Caenorhabditis elegans: one gene and its partner. The protein of the gene in region 2 interacts with the protein of the main gene of each other region in a pairwise test. Each region holds a gene or a part of one and is shown on either strand. Other genes may lie near its edges. The genes, in order: fbxa-171 and pcmd-1.

Region 1 (6,957 bases), on a different chromosome or scaffold from region 2:
TCAATACACACATGTTGTTTTACAATAAACATCGTGGAGAGTTTTTTTTCAATTCAATTTCTCTTCAAAATTTTTCAGTTTTTTATTGTCTCAATTTCAATTTTTGCTCGTGGTTTAAGCAATGCATGTTTTGCAGTATGTCCACAATAACAAGTTAATTCTTTTAGATAGTTGAAGTTGTAAAAAATGGATGAGTCCTCTGGGAAAAATACCACGAAAAACTGTGAAAAAACACCTGAATCACCGTGAGTTGTTCTGCAATTTTCAAGCAAAATTAGTTAGTTTTTTTTAATGTTTCAGAGTCCACACGCTTTGTTCGTCTCAAAGTGAGAAAAATCAATATCTTGGAAGTCACAAAAAACATGATTCATTGAATGATATTTTGGTTTGAGAGAAAAACATTAAAGCTGAACAAAAAAAAATTCAGGGAATGTCGTGTTCACCGGAAAGGATGCCCGTGAATCGTACACCAATAATTCCAGAGTGAGAAGAAGTTTCTTCATTAAAACATAAATAGCCACAATTTCCGTTTCAATTAAAACAATTATTATTTCTGACTGCTTATCTTCTGAAAATTAATAAGTTTAAAACACAAATATTTCAAGACCAATATTCCAAGTGGCTGTAACTATACCAAACAGTCAAATTGCAATCCGCGCGTGTATCCTTTATGAGCATCTTCACGGGAAGATGCTTACAGTGGCATATAGAAACTTCTGCGACAAAGTTGGGAATGGTGTCATTGAATTTGAGTCTTTTGAGTTTTGGTTTAATCAATTCCAAACTGGGAATCATGATTTGAGATATGATATTGAGTAATAAAAAAAACAATGATATTTGGACTATGGTTAAACTTTAGAAATTCAGGAATGCGCTTGAACCTCGTTCTTTGGCAGAAATCACTTCTACAGCCATGGCTTCTGGTGTGCTTTAGTAGAGCTGTAAGTCTTGTGAAGGTTGTAGGGAGTAATTGGGATATTCAGATCCGAAAGCAAATCAAGGAAATGTTTGGATGGAGCTCAGAGCAGCATATTGTCCAAATTCGATCTATTACAAGCTGAACAGTATTGTTTATGTACTGTTGAAAAATATATGTATGATTGCTACAACATAAAAGAGTTAAAAGTTATTTTATAAAAATCCGAATCGATAAAATTATATTATCCGTTTAACTTGAAATGAATTAGGAGTAATTTTCAAAAGGAATTTTTTGTTGTGTCGTGTGTAATTTATTATCGGCCATTGATTGCTTTGATATCCTGGTACGAATACATTTGCAATTTCAATTGGATCGAAGTCGTCGGATTCGAAGTTTGCATATTTGAAAGTGTCGGATTTCATCAAAATCTGAAACTATGTTAATTGTTTATACTTGAAGCGTAAAGTCTGCAGCAAATGCCTAAGCCTAAGCCTAAACTCCTAAGCTCAAGAGTAGTATAAGTCCCACACGACACCCCCATCCCACACCAGACCCCCCTATTGACCTCTCCCAAAATGGGGTGTCCATCTATGGATGTCCATTTATGGATGGCCATCGTTTTTTATTGATCTGTTTTTTTCGTTTATCATGGAACTGTTTTTTATTAGGAAAAAATGTTGTACTGTATGGGAGAAAATCTGAAATTAAAAAATATTTGAAATCGAGTATGTGGAATAAAATGTTTTCATTTACACTTTTAATATGTTTCATTGTGCACCCCTCCTCTCTATTACTCCGCCCCACTGCACAATCGAAAATCTCATAGTCAGTCTAAAGAAATTTAGAACATCATTATCCAAGTTGACACTTTCACGACAACAAGCCCCTACACTGAAAGTCATAACTCCTGGCCCTTCATATGGAGCTTGCAAGAAAACTTAGGTCATCCGAAAGCTGTGTGCACTATTAAAGAAATTTCTTTAGAATGAGTTTTTTGATTGTGCAGTGGGGCGGAGTAATAGAGAGGAGGCGTGCACAATGAAACATATCAAAAATGTAAATGAAAACATTTTATTCCACATACTCGATTTCAAATATTTTTTTAATTTCAGATTTTCTCCCATACAGTACAACATTTTTTTCTAATAAAAAACAGTTCCATAAAAAACGAAAAAAAAAACAGATCAATACAACAGAACAATAAAAAACGATGGCCATCCATAAATGGACATCCATAGATGGACACCCCATTTTGGGAGAGGTCAATAGGGGGGTCTGGTGTGGGATGGGGGTGTCGTGTGGGACTTATACTACTCTCAAGCGTGAGCCTAAGTCAAAAACTTCAGACTTAAGCTTCTTGGTGACCTATACGTCTCTCTGTGAAAATTCGCGTTGATCGGCCAACTGGAACCCTCTCAAAAATTTTAAAAAAAAACGGGAAATTCTTGAGCCTAAATACCGTCAGTGGCGAGCGTTAGATTGGCAAGCGTCAGCTCGCCAAGCCTAAGCCTGAGCCTAAACCTAAGCCTGAGTTTAGAATAAGATTATGCTTAGAACTGACCCTAAGACTAAACCTAAACCTAAGTCTAAGCCTAATCCTAACCCCTGAACCATTCAAAACTTACATCTCGAATTTTAATCGCATCATCTTTTGCGAAAAGATCCACAGTAACGTCAAAATAAGCTAGATGGAAGAACTTTTCAATGTTCATGGAGCAAGTGTCACTGTCAAAAATTAAAGCTTTTGCATTTTTCAGCTGAACTGTATCCATTAATTTTGTGCTATGGCCGTCTGTAGAAGAGGCAAAAAAGTGAACAACTTCGAGCGTTTTAGGCTCGAAGTACGGCAGGATTGCGTCGATTTCTTCGTTTTTCAATTCACAAACTAGTTTTCGGACTCGTAATTTGTTCATCGATCTCAAGACGTTCAATACATCGTTGAAAATGTTTTCCCGAATTTGCTCAGACATTTGTGCTTCAAAAAGTACGGAAAATGTTCGTGCGTCTTTAGTCACTACTGTATTGAAATCTTGAAGCGCTATTTTCCGATAATCTGTTCCTTTGATTTGAATTTTTCTGTTCTCGTAGATAATTGTGCATCCGTTTGGTACTGGGCAGTAGTTGACGGTTCTTTCGTTCAAAAATAGTCTTGCTTCATCTTTTTCGAAACATATTCCCATGGCGTTAAAATGAAATTCTTGTTGGTCAATTTTGTCACGGAGAATGCGCGAAACTTTTCTGGCCACGAATCTTGAAAAATTTTGGATTGAAACCATATTGACTTTTAGATGAAATTTATGCCATTTGAGAAATCGTTAAAAACATTTTTGGTCAAACATTTGTTTTAATTGTTTTTTGAAAACTTCCCAAAATTCATTTTTTCGGAGACATTTCAAGGTGTTTCTATAGTTGTAAAACTTCATAAAAAGACGATGAAAAAAAATACTTTGATGGAAAAACTCATCTGAATAATTCATATCTACTTTATTGCTACAATTTTTGCATAAGGACCTTTTTTGAATTACATGGGGTGTGTATAGAAGTCTATGACCACACGGTAAATATCATACTTTCTTTATAAAATCTCACCTATCGCAAAGTTCCATTTTGGCACAAATTTCATTCCAAACTTTTTCCGGCATATTCTGCAGGGAAGGTTCTTGTGGCTCACTGAAAAACATTAAAATTTTCTGTAAAGAAGCTTAGCACTTACCCATTAAAATATTCGACGAACTTCCTGCACCACTCTTTTTCGGAAATTTTGTGTGGAACGTCTGATGGTGGATTGATCGAGCAACGCAGATCATTGGAATTTCGTACTTCAATCTGCCTATTATCGTCCTGCAAGTCATGATTACCATTATAAAATCTATGAAACCAATATTCAAATTCTTTGTAGGCAATCTTCTCCTTCAAGGTGTTGCAAATTGTTTCATAGGCTTCATTCACAGTCTTTTTCTGGAGCACTTCGTAGAAAATACAAGATCGAATGAAGGTTTTGGAGTAAGGTTTTTGAGCGGTGGAAGTCATTTTGATATGATGCGCGCGGCAAAAAAATTACATCAAAATTTTAGACTTAGCAATATATCTTCACCGAATTCTTCAGTATTGACATTGGAGTTAGAGGGCACTTGCACTGCTGGAGAGTTAGTCAGAGAAAGGAGAACAGTCGAGCATGTTGTTTCGCAATAAAACATTTTTTTTTGTTGGGTTTATATGTCCTTCAGCAATTGCATTCTTGAACTGGCCTAAATAAGATGTCCTTGCAGATCCGGAAACAAACTGAGGGGAATGGAACTCTGTGCAACTACTTGCTCCACCTTCATATATTTCTAGCTGATGAACTGTAAAATAAATTTGTTTGTATTAGTTTTACCAACGTCTCTTTGACACTCGCCCATTCAAATAGTTACAACACCCTGTTCCATCCTCAGGGTTTTTCAGGATTTTCAAATTTTCGGCGATATGGGCCTACCGGCAAGCTTTTTCGAGATTTTTCCAGATATTAATGGTGTACCAATTTCCCAAACATTGAGTGGAAATTCCAAAAAATGGAAGACGATTGTTATAAGAAATGGTAAGAATATGATCTTAGTTACATTTTTGCGCATATTTCATCCCAATGGACGTTCTTGAAAATTTCTCACAATTTTCTGAAACAAACAAAAGATTTCAAACATTTTTGTGATATATTGCTAGCCACATTCGTCTAATTTTCCAAGTCACATTGTTCCAGTTTTGATATTGCTAATTTGGTAGACCTAATTCTGGTTTGATTCCTCAGTCTCTCTAGTCTCTTGGCGTTGTTGTATACGAACTGATATTATCTCCTCTGATCAAAAACCAAGTGTATTTGGCGAAAACACGCAATCCAAATAGGGATATAAATACGAAGAGAAGAAATTACCCCAAAAAGATCAGGCAAATCTACGGCAAATCAGTAAAGACTTTTTGTATTTTTCGTGGTTTTACTTCTCGATTTCAATTCAATTTATTTTTTGAAAGACTATTTTAAAGTGGTTCCGTCTATTTGTTTTTACATATGTAGTTTGGCTTTTGATCTTCTCCTTTCTAAAAATTGTATTCAATATTATGAGTTACTTTCCCTGCATTTTTCATTAAAAAGTATGTATTTGCCGCACATTCTCCATTCGTTCGACTTATCATCATTTTTTCAGAGAACATGAAAAAAGAATTTCTGCAATTCTTCAGTCTCTTTGTCGTACAACTTCGTTTTTATCTCCCGTGTTAAGAAAGAGAATCAAACAGAAAAACGCAAACAATAAAATTGATTTTAAAAAAACCGCTGTGACAACTCGTTTTCTCATAGCGCGTTGAAAAAATGCTTCTCGTTGTAATAGTTTATTCCAATTTAAATTTTTTTGATTTAGCAAGAAACGACTTTCTTAGTTCGTTTTTCAGATTATCCGAAAAACTAAACATTAGTAAAAATGGATGATCAGCTTGAAAAAAATTTAGAAGTAGGAGAATGGAAAAAATGTGAAGAAAAAGCAGAATCTCCGTGAGTTGTTTCGCAATTTTTCAGCAGAGTGAATTAAGTTTTTGTTAATTTCAGAGTTGGGAACCCTTTTCTACTTCATTATGATCACTTAAATCTTTGTGTTTGAATGCAAAAACACTGTTACTAATTAAGAGCGTAGTTTTTTAGGGAGGACCAACTAATTATGTGGGGATGCAAATTACACCAATAATTCCCAGGTGAGCAAAAATTCTTACATTAATACAGAAACAGCTGCAGTTCTACTACAATGGAACAATCAGTTGTTATATATACCGTATATTCTCTATTAGTGTTGTCGATTCAGCCCTTCGAGGTCAATCTCGACAACCTTTTTAACAGTGCTCTGATATAGGTTTCTACGGAATAGCCCACTATTCTTAACCTATATCAGCTCGACCGCACCGTTGAGCATTACTCCAATTATTATCTCTTCATTACATTTTATTTCATTCAAATCCGTTCAGTATTCGCCGAGATATAAATATATCTATAAATATTCGTATTCAAATCACGCGCCAACACCTTATGGTAGCGCGCTCGCGGCGAGACCCACGCGTCTCTAACTTCTTGGCATCGCGCCAAGTCCACCGACCGCCCGCGGGGAGTTCGAATATGTCCGTCAATTGTGACGTAATTGAATACCAATTCCGGTGTAATCTCCACGTATCGTTTTCCCTCACGTGCAGATATACCATCATGTTCGTTAGATTTATATCTTTAATAACAGTTTGAACTATTACCAGTCTAAATGACCCATTATCATCATTTCACCATCATATTCGCCAGACGAGGGTTTTTCACCATCTTAAGAACTTCTAATATCATCCTTATATGTTCTTTGCTGTATTTCCCTCATTTTACTTGTTTTTCCTATTTAGAGTCCTGCTCTACCCACACGGGAGAGGTTGTATAATAAATAGGTTTTTGAGTATTCCTTTGTTCGTCATACACCGCTTATCTTACACAATTCAGATGCTTTATCGGGACACACGGAGAGAGAGAGAGAGAGGTACCGGAGGCGTGATCGATACCGACTACTACCATCCTACACGCCCTCGACATGGTGCATCGAACCGGTGGACAAGGATCGACGTTTAAAAGGTAATCTTTCGTTCAAAAATCGATTAAAAATGCAAAAAATTTCGTCTAAAAATATCAAAAATTACCAAATTTATACCAAAATCTATCTTCAAAATTCCATTTTTCCAAAAAACTCTATCAAAATTCCTTTTTTTACCTAAAAAATCAATTAAAATCCAATTTCTATTCAAAAATCCATACCAAAATTGCATAAAAATCGATAATGAGCGGAAGATTTATTCTGAAACTCTCCTTGATTTCAACTATTCACAAAAAAGAACCCGTCGGACCGCTCTCTCCTCTCTGATGTACCTAGAAATCACTGAATTTCGAACAAATTACTCAATTATCCAAGTATATCCATCGAGTGTATCCTCAACATGATCCGAACGAGGAAATATTCCGTTGACTTCGAAAAAACTCTCAAGCGAATCGA
Region 2 (9,853 bases):
AAATTCCCGAAATTTCATTAATTTTTACGCAAAACCCATCATTTTTGTGCCAAAATTCAGCGGCACAGCTGAAACTGGTGCTACAGTAACCCGCGGTGGGTTTTGCCACGAAGCGGGGTACTGTAGCACTAGTTTGGGCTGTGTTTATCGATTTTTCGGCTATTTTAGCTGGAAATTTGGAATTTTAAGCTCAAAAATTGGCAATTTCACATATTTTTTTTTCCACTTAAAATCCTAAACAATTAGAATTTTTCTCGAATTCTGAGGAAAAAACACAATTATACAGCTGAAACTGGTGCTACAGTAACCCCGCCGGTGGGTCTCGCCACGAAATCTGAAAACTTACAGTAAAGAGTATGCACTTGAGGCTCCCACGTAGAAAATGAATTGGAGAAACCATTTTTGATTGTATTCGCCGACGCAATTGTTCACCCAGGGGCCTAAAAATCGAAAAATTATTTTAGCGTTTTGGCACAGTTGAAATCAATGCTACAGTAACCCGCGCGGTGGGTCTCGCCACGATTTGCCCGAAAAATTCTCGATTTTTAGCGCATTTTTATCGCTAAAAAATTCAAAAAAATCTCTAAAATCCCCTTTTCACTGCTATGTCGTGGCGGGACCCAACAGGGTTACTGTAGCTTTAGCTTCAGCTGTGTCAGCGGTGAAAATCTCTAATTTTCACAGATTTCAGTCATTTTGAAGGCAAAAATGTCTATTTTAGGTGGTTTTTTTGGTGAAAATTAGTGAAAGTTTCGATTTTCAGCCGATTCGGGCTGTTTTTTTCATTTTTAGCGCCGAAAAACGAACAATGATGGTCCATTTTCCTGACACAACGCTTGCAAACTCTGCAATGATGAGCTCTCGGTGGCCTTAGAGAATCACAACGTGTACACATTGTCCACTCAGTTGCAGATGAACGATTCAGGTGATCGTGACGAAAAACGGCTTCTTCATCGGATTCATCTTCCTCATCTGATGAAAATACCGGATTCGGAGTGTTTTGGCCTCTGGAAATGCGGAAAATTCGGTGGAAAACGGTTAAAAATAACGCGCGAAAATCGATAAACACAGCTGAAACTGGGGCTACAGTAACCCGGGGTGGGTCTCGCCACGATTGGGGGTACTGTAGCACTTGTTTCAGCTGTGTTTATCGATTTTTCGGCTATTTTAGCAGAATATTAGATTTATTTTGAGTTGAAACATTTTTTTTAAGAATTCGGAGAAAAATGCGATTACACAGCTCAAACCGGAGTTACAGTAACCCGCGGTGGGTCTCACCACGATTAGGGGTACTGTAGCACTTGTTTCAGCTGTGTCAGAGCTAGAAAATAGCAATTTTTACACTTCTTTTTAACAAAAAGTTACCAGTTGGCACGTTATTTTAATGAAAACCTTTTTTTTTTAATTTCGAAAAAAATTTGCTTTTATGTCTATTTTTAGTAAAAGTTTTGTTTTTTTTTCTTGAAAATTCCACTAATGTCATCGATTTTAGTGAAAAATCGATAAACACAGCTGAAACTGGGGCTACAGTAACCCGGGGTGGGTCTCGCCACGATTGTAGGTACTGTAGCACTTGTTTCAGCTGTGTTTATCCATTTTCGGCTATTTCAGCTGAAAAATAGATTTTTTTTTGAGTTAAAAACCAAAAATTTTCGAGAAAAAATGCAATTACACAGTGGAAACTAGGGCTACAGTAACCCGAGGGTACTGTAGCACTTGTTTCAGCTGTGTCGGGACACAATATCCCTTAAAATTTCCATTTCTGAGCCAGAAAACCCGAGATTTTGATCATTTTCAGGACAAAAACCTTCGGAAAATCGAAATTTCCCATTTTTTTCCCAGTTTTCCGTCAAAATTCCCTCTTTTCGTGGTAAGACCCTCACTTTGACGAGGAAATCGGCACAGTTCCCGGGTCGGACAACATTGCTCGTGTGTGAGCTACAATCGTCGTTGCCAGCAGGCAATTGAAGACGGCTCCGTGGAAAACTGTCCAAATTCTGGAAAAAATAGCGATTTTTTGTGGAAAATTAGCGTTTTTAGCCAAAAATCAGTGACTTTTGGGGTGAATTTCGCATTTTTATTTCAATTTAATTGTGCCATGATGCTCAAACCCAGAAAAAAATGGGGGGAAATATTGGTGAAAATCCGAAAATTCGTCAATTTTTCTCCACAAAAACCTACGAGTGCCCGAAAGTTGGCAGCAAAAGCCAAATAAGAATCACATAATCCGCATATGCAATCAGTAGATAGATCATGCACACACAAACGAGCCCGCACGGATCCCATTTGAACATTTTCCGGCTCTATTCTCGGTTTAATGTGGCATTTCTGCAAAATTTCCAGATTAGTTGGGGGAAAATGTTATTAAATGTTGAAAAATCGATAATTTGAAATTCATTTTATTGATTTTTATCACAAAATTCGTTGGGTTACTGATAAAAATCAATAAACAACGATGAAAATCCGTGGAAATGATTGATAAATTAAAGGCGCATGGATTTATACGAGTGGTGGGTCTCGCAACGACGACCCCTTGGCACGTTGCCAAGTGCCGCCAAACGGCGGTTTTTTGATTTTAATTTCCGTTTTTTGTGGTTTTTCGTGGATTTTCTTTGATTTTCTTCGATTTTTCTATTCAAAAATGATTTTAAATAAAATTTCGACACTTAAAATCAATATTTTCAGCAAAAAATCCACTATGGAGGTGGAATACGACGAGGGATTCGACTCCAGTTCGCTGAAGAATAATCCCGCCTCCCTCCAGCGGGATTATCCGACTTTTATGGAATCGGTATATTGATTTTCCTTATTTTCCAGCAAAAACTCTCAATTATATCATTTAGAATTGCTCGCAAATGTCCGTAAGACAGGAATTCCTGCCAATATTCCCACAAAGACTGGATTTATGTCAGATTTCGCCGAAAAAGAGCGAAAAAAAGTCGAAAAAGAAGAAGATTCCGAGCCCGATTAAGAAGACGAATGACACTAAATTGTCAATATTAAGCGAAAAATCGGAAATTCGCTCGGAAAAACACAAAAATAAGTGTAAAAGTGCGGATTTGGACGCAATGGAGAAGAATTTTAAAGAATTACTCGAAAATTTCAGTGTACGGGGAGAAAAATGGCGTTTTTCAACCCAAAAATTTCGATTTTTCAGAAAAATGCCGCTCTCAGCAACAGTTTAAGAGATGAAGCTTCATCGATCATAAGCTCATCGGCTTCTTCACAAAAATCTCTGTTTAAAGAGGTAAAATATGTGTTTTTTTGTTGAAAATTCACTTAAAAATCGTATTTTTTGCCTAAAAACCCCTTTTTTTTTTCATAAAAAAAAAAGATTTTTCTCTTCAGATCAACCTTGCCAAGAAGCTCTCCGCGAGTTACTCGAAAAAACCCGAAAAAACTGGCGAAAAATCGAAAAATTGCACGTTTTCGGATAGTACCTTCCGTTTGAGCAGCCAAAATGACTCGGACAGTGATGATACGAGGCCGTAAGTGAAGAAAAATCGAATTTTACACGAGAAACTATTGAAAAATGCGAAAATTTATCGATTTTCCATACAAAAAAGTTGAAATCCGAGTTTTTGAACCCAAAAAATGTGAAAATTGATTAATTTTCCACTCAAAATCTGAATTTTTTCGTATTTTCACCGGAAAAGCTCCAGAAAAATTAAATTTTCAGTTTAAAATCGCTAAAAACCTTTAAAAAAATCGATAAAAAGCTATTTTTTTGCAAAATTGCTTTAGAAAACGTGAAAATCGCTGCTGAAAATGTATTTTTCCAGGCCTTCAAGTCAAGCTTCACTGGCCTTCGAAGTGGAACAAGCTCGAAATATGATGATGTCATCGGCTAAAATTCCGAAGCCTCTGAGCTCATCGACACCGCGCAAAGAACGACGAACAACTGGAACGAACAGCGATTCCAGTAATATTTTCGGCCGAAAATTCTGAAAATTGGGCTTTTTGCTCAGAAATTGCCGAAAAATCGGAGAAAACTCGAATTTTTAAGCTTAAAATTACAATTTTGAAGCCAAAATCCGTGAAAATCATCTGGAAATTTTGGCATTTTTATCCGGAAATTTCCGAAAAATCGTTGAAAAAAGCAAATTTAATGTTTTTGCCTTGAAATATCCGAAAAATAAAAAATAAAACTTGAATTTTCAGATAAAATTTTGGCAAATCTAAAAATTTTCAAGCCAAAATGTGGAAATTTTGACCTTTTTACCCGGAAAGTTCCGGAAAACAGTGAAAATTTTGAGTTTTCTCCAAAAAATTCTGAAAAAAGGAGCATTTTAAAGCTAAAACCTGGAAATTTGACCTTTTTACCTTGAAATTACCCTAAAATCGTAGAAAAAAGGCAAAATCTATAGAAAATCGCCGAAAAACCCATAGAAAACTTGAATTTCGAGCCGAAACTTGGATATAAATATGTTTTACGAGATTCTCAACGGAGCGCACTTGCTTCCAACGAAAAAAAAAACCCTAAAAACTTTGGATTTTCAGTATTTTATCAGTAGAGCGCATTTCAAAAATCCCTTTATTTCGTGGGTCCCGTCTAAGCTTCAGTCTTTAATTTAAGTTCACACTGTGAGGATTACGGTAGCTACAGTAGTAGCTACAGTAACCCTCAATTCAAATAAGATCAGTTTGTAGTAAGTTGTGTATTTCGCAGAGAACATCATTAGCCACGAGACGGGCGGTGTGGAAGGAAACTGAACACAGGCGGTGAGGTCTTGATGCCTGTGTTACTAGCCACTAGGCCACGGTGTAGGGGGTCTCTAGGTACATGCTATGCAGGTTTATGTGTTAGATGGAAAGGGTTGACAGAGTGTAATGGGGGAATTCACTGAGTAGCGACTTGTGTGACCTCAGTGTGTCTTTTTCAATGGTCTCGACACGGAAATCGATTTTTTTTTCCCAAAAAAATCAAAGTAACGAATTGTGGCATCTGTGTAGCTTTGCCCAATGAAAAGTATGAATAAATGTTGAGTTCCGCGTGAAAATCGCATTTTTCATACTTTTCATGTGCAAAAGAGCACATTTGTCACCGGAGACGGGGAACCTCTGCCCAAATTTTCATTTTAATAGTTAATTTAGTGAGATTTTTGTGAAATTATCTGAAGAGTGATAAAAATTTGGTCCAAAACTGGCAAATTTCACGAATTAGCGTTTTTGGTTAGAATTTTTGCGGAATTGTGAGCATTTTTTTTAAAGAAAAATGCAACTATTTTTGCTCGGAAAATCGAGTTTTCGGAAATTGCACTGCTATGTGGCATCTGTGTATCTTACTACAGCAATCCGTGGGTCTTGACACGAAAATCGGAAAAAAAAAATCAGAAAAACGACTTGTGACATCTGTGTTGCTTTGCCCAATGAAGAGTATGAATAAATGTTGAGTTATTCTGTGAAAATCGCGTTTTTCATACTTTTCATGTGCAAAAGTGCTCATTTGTCACCGGAGACGGGGAACCGCTGCCCAAATTTTCATTTTTTGTATCAAATTTTGATAAATTGGCAGAAAAGTGCTGAAACTTTGGTTCAAAACTAGCAAATTTCACGAATTAGCGTTTTTTTTTTTGCTAATGCTGTAAAATTTTGATAATTTTAAAAATTCATGTATATTTTTTAGAAACTGCTAGTTTTTTTTTTCGAAATTACAGGGAATCAGCTTTCAAGTTTTTTAGTCCCAATCAAAAAAGCGAAAATTTAAGCCCCATATTGATCTATTTTGATGAAAATCGGTTTTTTGAGCTCCGCGAGCCCTGAAAATGCTCGAAATTTGATTTTCACCGAAACAGGCCGATATGGCTTAAGATTTCGGATTTTTGCGGGGAATTCAAATTTTTTAGTCCCAATCAGCAAAAATCGGTAGGAAAATTGCATTTTTCGCAAGAAAATTACAAAAATTTAAGATTCTCTCGAAAAATTGATAAAAACCCAAATTTTCCAGCAATCTCCGTCATTTCGGCTGAAAAACGATATCTAAAAAAAAATTCGCGACTTGTGGCATCTGTGTAGCTTTGCCCAATGAAAATTATGAATAAATGTTGAGTTCCACGTGAAAATCGCATTTTTCATACTTTTCATGTGCAAAAGAGCACATTTGTCACCGGAGACGGGGAACCGCTGCCCAAATTTTCATTTATTTTCAGTTCGTCTCTCCGAATCACAGCTCGTGGAGCTCTACTCGAATCGAGAGCCGCGAAATTCGAAATCTGACATCACAATTCGACAATTTTTCGACGAGGAGGATGACGCTGATAAAACGATTGTCGAGCAGGTTTTCAAGGATTATCACAGGAGTTTGGAGAAGGAAACTCCGATTATGAGAAATTCGGCGACGGATACATCGGGTAGGGAGAGGAACTACAGTAATCCATGGGTCTTGGCACGAAAATCTGGAAAAAATGGAGAAAAACAACTAGAAAACGTTTATTTTCAAGTTTTTAGAATAATCGTTTTTTTTTATCCAGAACAAATCTTAAATAAAAATTAGGCAGGAACTACAGTAATCCATGGGTCTTGGCACGAAAATCTGGAAAAAATGGAGAAAAAAAAATTAAGAAACATTGATATTCAAGGTTTTTTTGAAAAATAATCGATTGAAAAAAGATTTTTCATGTTTTTCACATTTTTTTTTAATAAAAAAGTAATCCTGAAATATTTTCAAATAAAAATTAGGTAGGAACTACAGTAACCCAAGGGTCTTGTCGCGAAAGTTTGCAAAAATTTCAAAATAACGACTTGTGGCATCTGTGTAGCTTTGCTCAATGAAAAGTATGAATAAATGTTGAGTTTTTCGTGAAAATCGCATTTTTCATACTCTTCATGGGTAAAAATGCACATTTGTCACCGGAGACGGGGAACCTCTGCCCAAATTTTCATTTTTTCGAATAAATGTGGCTAATTACACTAATCCCCTCCTTTTACACCGTCCTACCCCCATAATTATAGGCTCTCGGAGCAATTAAATGCTCGGTTTTTTTTCCAGGATCTCTACATATTGAACGAAATCGTGACGGACGGTCGGCTTCGATGAGCAATCTGATTTCGAATAGTGGAAATCGTACGAATTTGACGGTTTTTGATGGATTTGGTAGGTTTTTTGGAGCTGAAAATGCTGGAAAATTGAGATTTTTCATTAAAAAATTCATTTTTCAGATGGAAATGCTGGAAAATTGATATTTTTTGTGGAAAAAATAAGTTTTTAATCGAAAAATGTAAAAATTTCGATATTTTTCATTTAAAAAAATTAATTTTTTTTTTGCAGAAAAAACTGAAAATAGATATAATTTTTTATATTTAGATATAAAATAATTTTTTCAGCTGAAAATGCTAAAAATTCCCCAAAATTCCATTTTTCCAGCTCCCGGAGCCCTCCGTCACTCGATATCCACCGTACAAATGAGCCCAACCAAAAAAAAATTCGACGAATTTCGAATTGAGCACCAAGAACCTGGCATTTTGCCAAGATTTGTCATCAAAACGTCACTGCGGCCGATTTTTTCGCCACCACTCGATATTGATGAGATTTGTGGAAAAGGACTGAGAAAAGATGCGGAAAGGTGCGAAATTCGTGCTGAAAATCGACAAAAATTGGAGTTTTTGGCTTAAAATCCGGAAATTTGTGCTCAAAATTTCGAAAAATAGTCAAAAAAAAATTCAAATTTGGAAAAATACGTTATTTTTACCCAAAAAATTGATTTTCAAGCATTTTTTCGCTTTAAAAACTTGAAAAGTGCGTTTTATGCGAGAAAAATCGATAAATTGCCGTAAAAAAGTCATTGTTGGCTTTTTAGACTGAAAAATCTAAAAATTGGGTCACAAATTTGGGAATTTCGACAAAACTACAAAAAAAATCCACTAAAAAGCGATAATTGGCTCAAAAATCGCAAAAAAAAAATGGAGAAAATGTCTGAAAATATTCGATTTCCACAATTTTGCACTGAAAATTCGAAAATTTACTAAAACTCGGTGATTGGCTCAAAAATTCACAGCTCAAAGCCAAAAAATGGGGTGCTTGGACCCAAAAATTCGAATTTTCCGCCAAAAATCCGTAATTTTAAGCTCCATATTTTTAAGCCCTATTGGTGAAAATCGATTTTTCGAGCTCCGTGAGCCCTGAAAATGCTCGAAATTCGATTTACACCGAAACAGGCCGATATGGGGCTTAAAATTCCGGATTTTTGGCGGAAAATTCGAATTTTTGGGTCCCAACACCCCATTTTTACAATTTTTTGGCTTTGAGCTGTGAATTTTGGAGCCCATCACCGAGTTTTATTAAATTTTCAAATTTTTAGTGCAAAATTGTGGAAATCGAATATTTTGAGACATTTTCTCCATTTTTTTGCTATTTTTGAGCCAATTATCAATTTCTTAGCGGATTTTTTGATAGTTTTGTTGAAATTTCCGAATTTTTGAGCCAATTTTTTGATTTTTCAGTCTGAAAAAGGCAAAAATGGCAATTTTTCGATTTTTCTCGCAAAAAAACGCACTTTTCATGTTTTTAAAGCGAAAAAATGCTTGAAAATCAATTTTTCGGGTAAAAAATAACGTATTTTCCAAAATTTGAACTTTTTGACAATTTTTTGAAATTTTGAGCACAAATTTTCGGATTTTTTAGTCCCAATCAGCGAAAATCGGGGAAAAATTGCATTTTTTGGCAAGAAAAATACGAAAATTTGCTAAAATTCTCTCGAAAAATCGATAAAAACCCCGCAATTGTTTTCAGCAATCTTCGTCATTTCGGCGGAAAAACGATATCTGCACAAATTCATGGCTCAAAACCCGTTCAGCGACGTCCCACAGTACCAAAAGCTTCAAAAACTGGCTCCGATCGTCCGACAACTGCTTCAACGGCGAAAATTGTGGAAAAACCTGAAATTCCGGTGGAAATTCCTCAAAAATTGGAAATTTCTCGGAAAATTGCGGAAAAAACTCTGAAATTGGACGATTTTCCAGTGAAAAGTTCAAATTTTTCAAATATTTCAAATTTTCAACCGCGCCGGCCACCATACTGTAGTGCCACGTCATCAGATGGCTCCGCCCATTCCTTGGCTACAGTAACCCAGCAACTCATGGGAACAGTTAAACTTTTGCATCCGGATTGGCTTGATATGCTCCGTCGACTACTGAATAATGCTCTGCCACGTGATGACGTCACTCTTTTGTTCAAATATCAAGTTTTGGCGGAAAAAGATCATTTGGAACGGAAATTTCGTGGAAATCTATCTGTGGAAGCTGAAGCTGCTGATGCTCACTTGGAGCATTTTGGGCGGATTTCGACGCTGAATCGTGTGCTCGATAGGCTCGCGGATCTCACAAATGACGGAGGACATGTGTCGAGAATTCAACAAATTAAAATTATTCATAATGCACTTTTTAAAGACTAATTTTCGCGAAAAATCGCGCCAAATTTTGAGCAAAAGCACTTTTTTCTTTTTAACTTCTTTTTAACGTAATTTTTTTTTTGGAAAAACCACCCGAAAAATTAAGATTTCAAGACTTGAAACCTTAATTTTCGAATTCTCCGTGAAATTTCCGAAATTTTAAGCCCCATATCGGCCTATTTTGGTGAAAAACGAATTTGGAGCATTTTCAGGGCTCGCGGAGCCCGAAAACTCAAATTGCTCCGAAATAGGCCGATATGGAGCTCAAAACTTTGGAAATTTTACAGAGAATTCGAATTTATCCGTTTCCAATCTCGAAAACGTCAACTTTTTTGACTTTTCTACAAAAATTTATTGAAAAATTGGTTTTAGCGTAGGAAAAATTCAAATTTCTAGCTGTTTTTTTTTTGAGAAAAATTGCAAATTTTTGTGATTTTTGCTCAAGATTGGTCTATTTTACCCCCCAC

What was found.
Region 1: the proteins of pcmd-1 (region 2) and fbxa-171 interact in a two-hybrid assay, tested with the Caenorhabditis elegans proteins (one large-scale study listed by BioGRID).

What each region holds. Positions count from the first base shown.
Region 1 is NC_003283.11:17,562,055-17,569,011, forward strand, and holds fbxa-171 (F-box domain-containing protein), read right to left. Parts: upstream 3,950-6,957; coding exon 3,633-3,949; intron 3,590-3,632; coding exon 3,509-3,589; intron 3,170-3,508; coding exon 2,545-3,169; intron 1,348-2,544; coding exon 1,156-1,347; downstream 1-1,155.
Region 2 is NC_003279.8:11,604,147-11,613,999, reverse strand, and holds the start of pcmd-1 (PeriCentriolar MatriX Deficient), read left to right. Parts: upstream 1-2,685; 5' UTR 2,686-2,698; coding exon 2,699-2,791; intron 2,792-2,843; coding exon 2,844-3,107; intron 3,108-3,157; coding exon 3,158-3,247; intron 3,248-3,348; coding exon 3,349-3,488; intron 3,489-3,782; coding exon 3,783-3,922; intron 3,923-4,554; exon of another isoform or gene 4,555-4,685; intron 4,686-6,149; coding exon 6,150-6,350; intron 6,351-6,988; coding exon 6,989-7,093; intron 7,094-7,363; coding exon 7,364-7,562; intron 7,563-8,728; coding exon 8,729-9,389; 3' UTR 9,390-9,853. Other genes in the region: dhhc-7 (Palmitoyltransferase), read right to left, coding at 347-440, 808-1,007, 1,884-1,997, 2,182-2,294.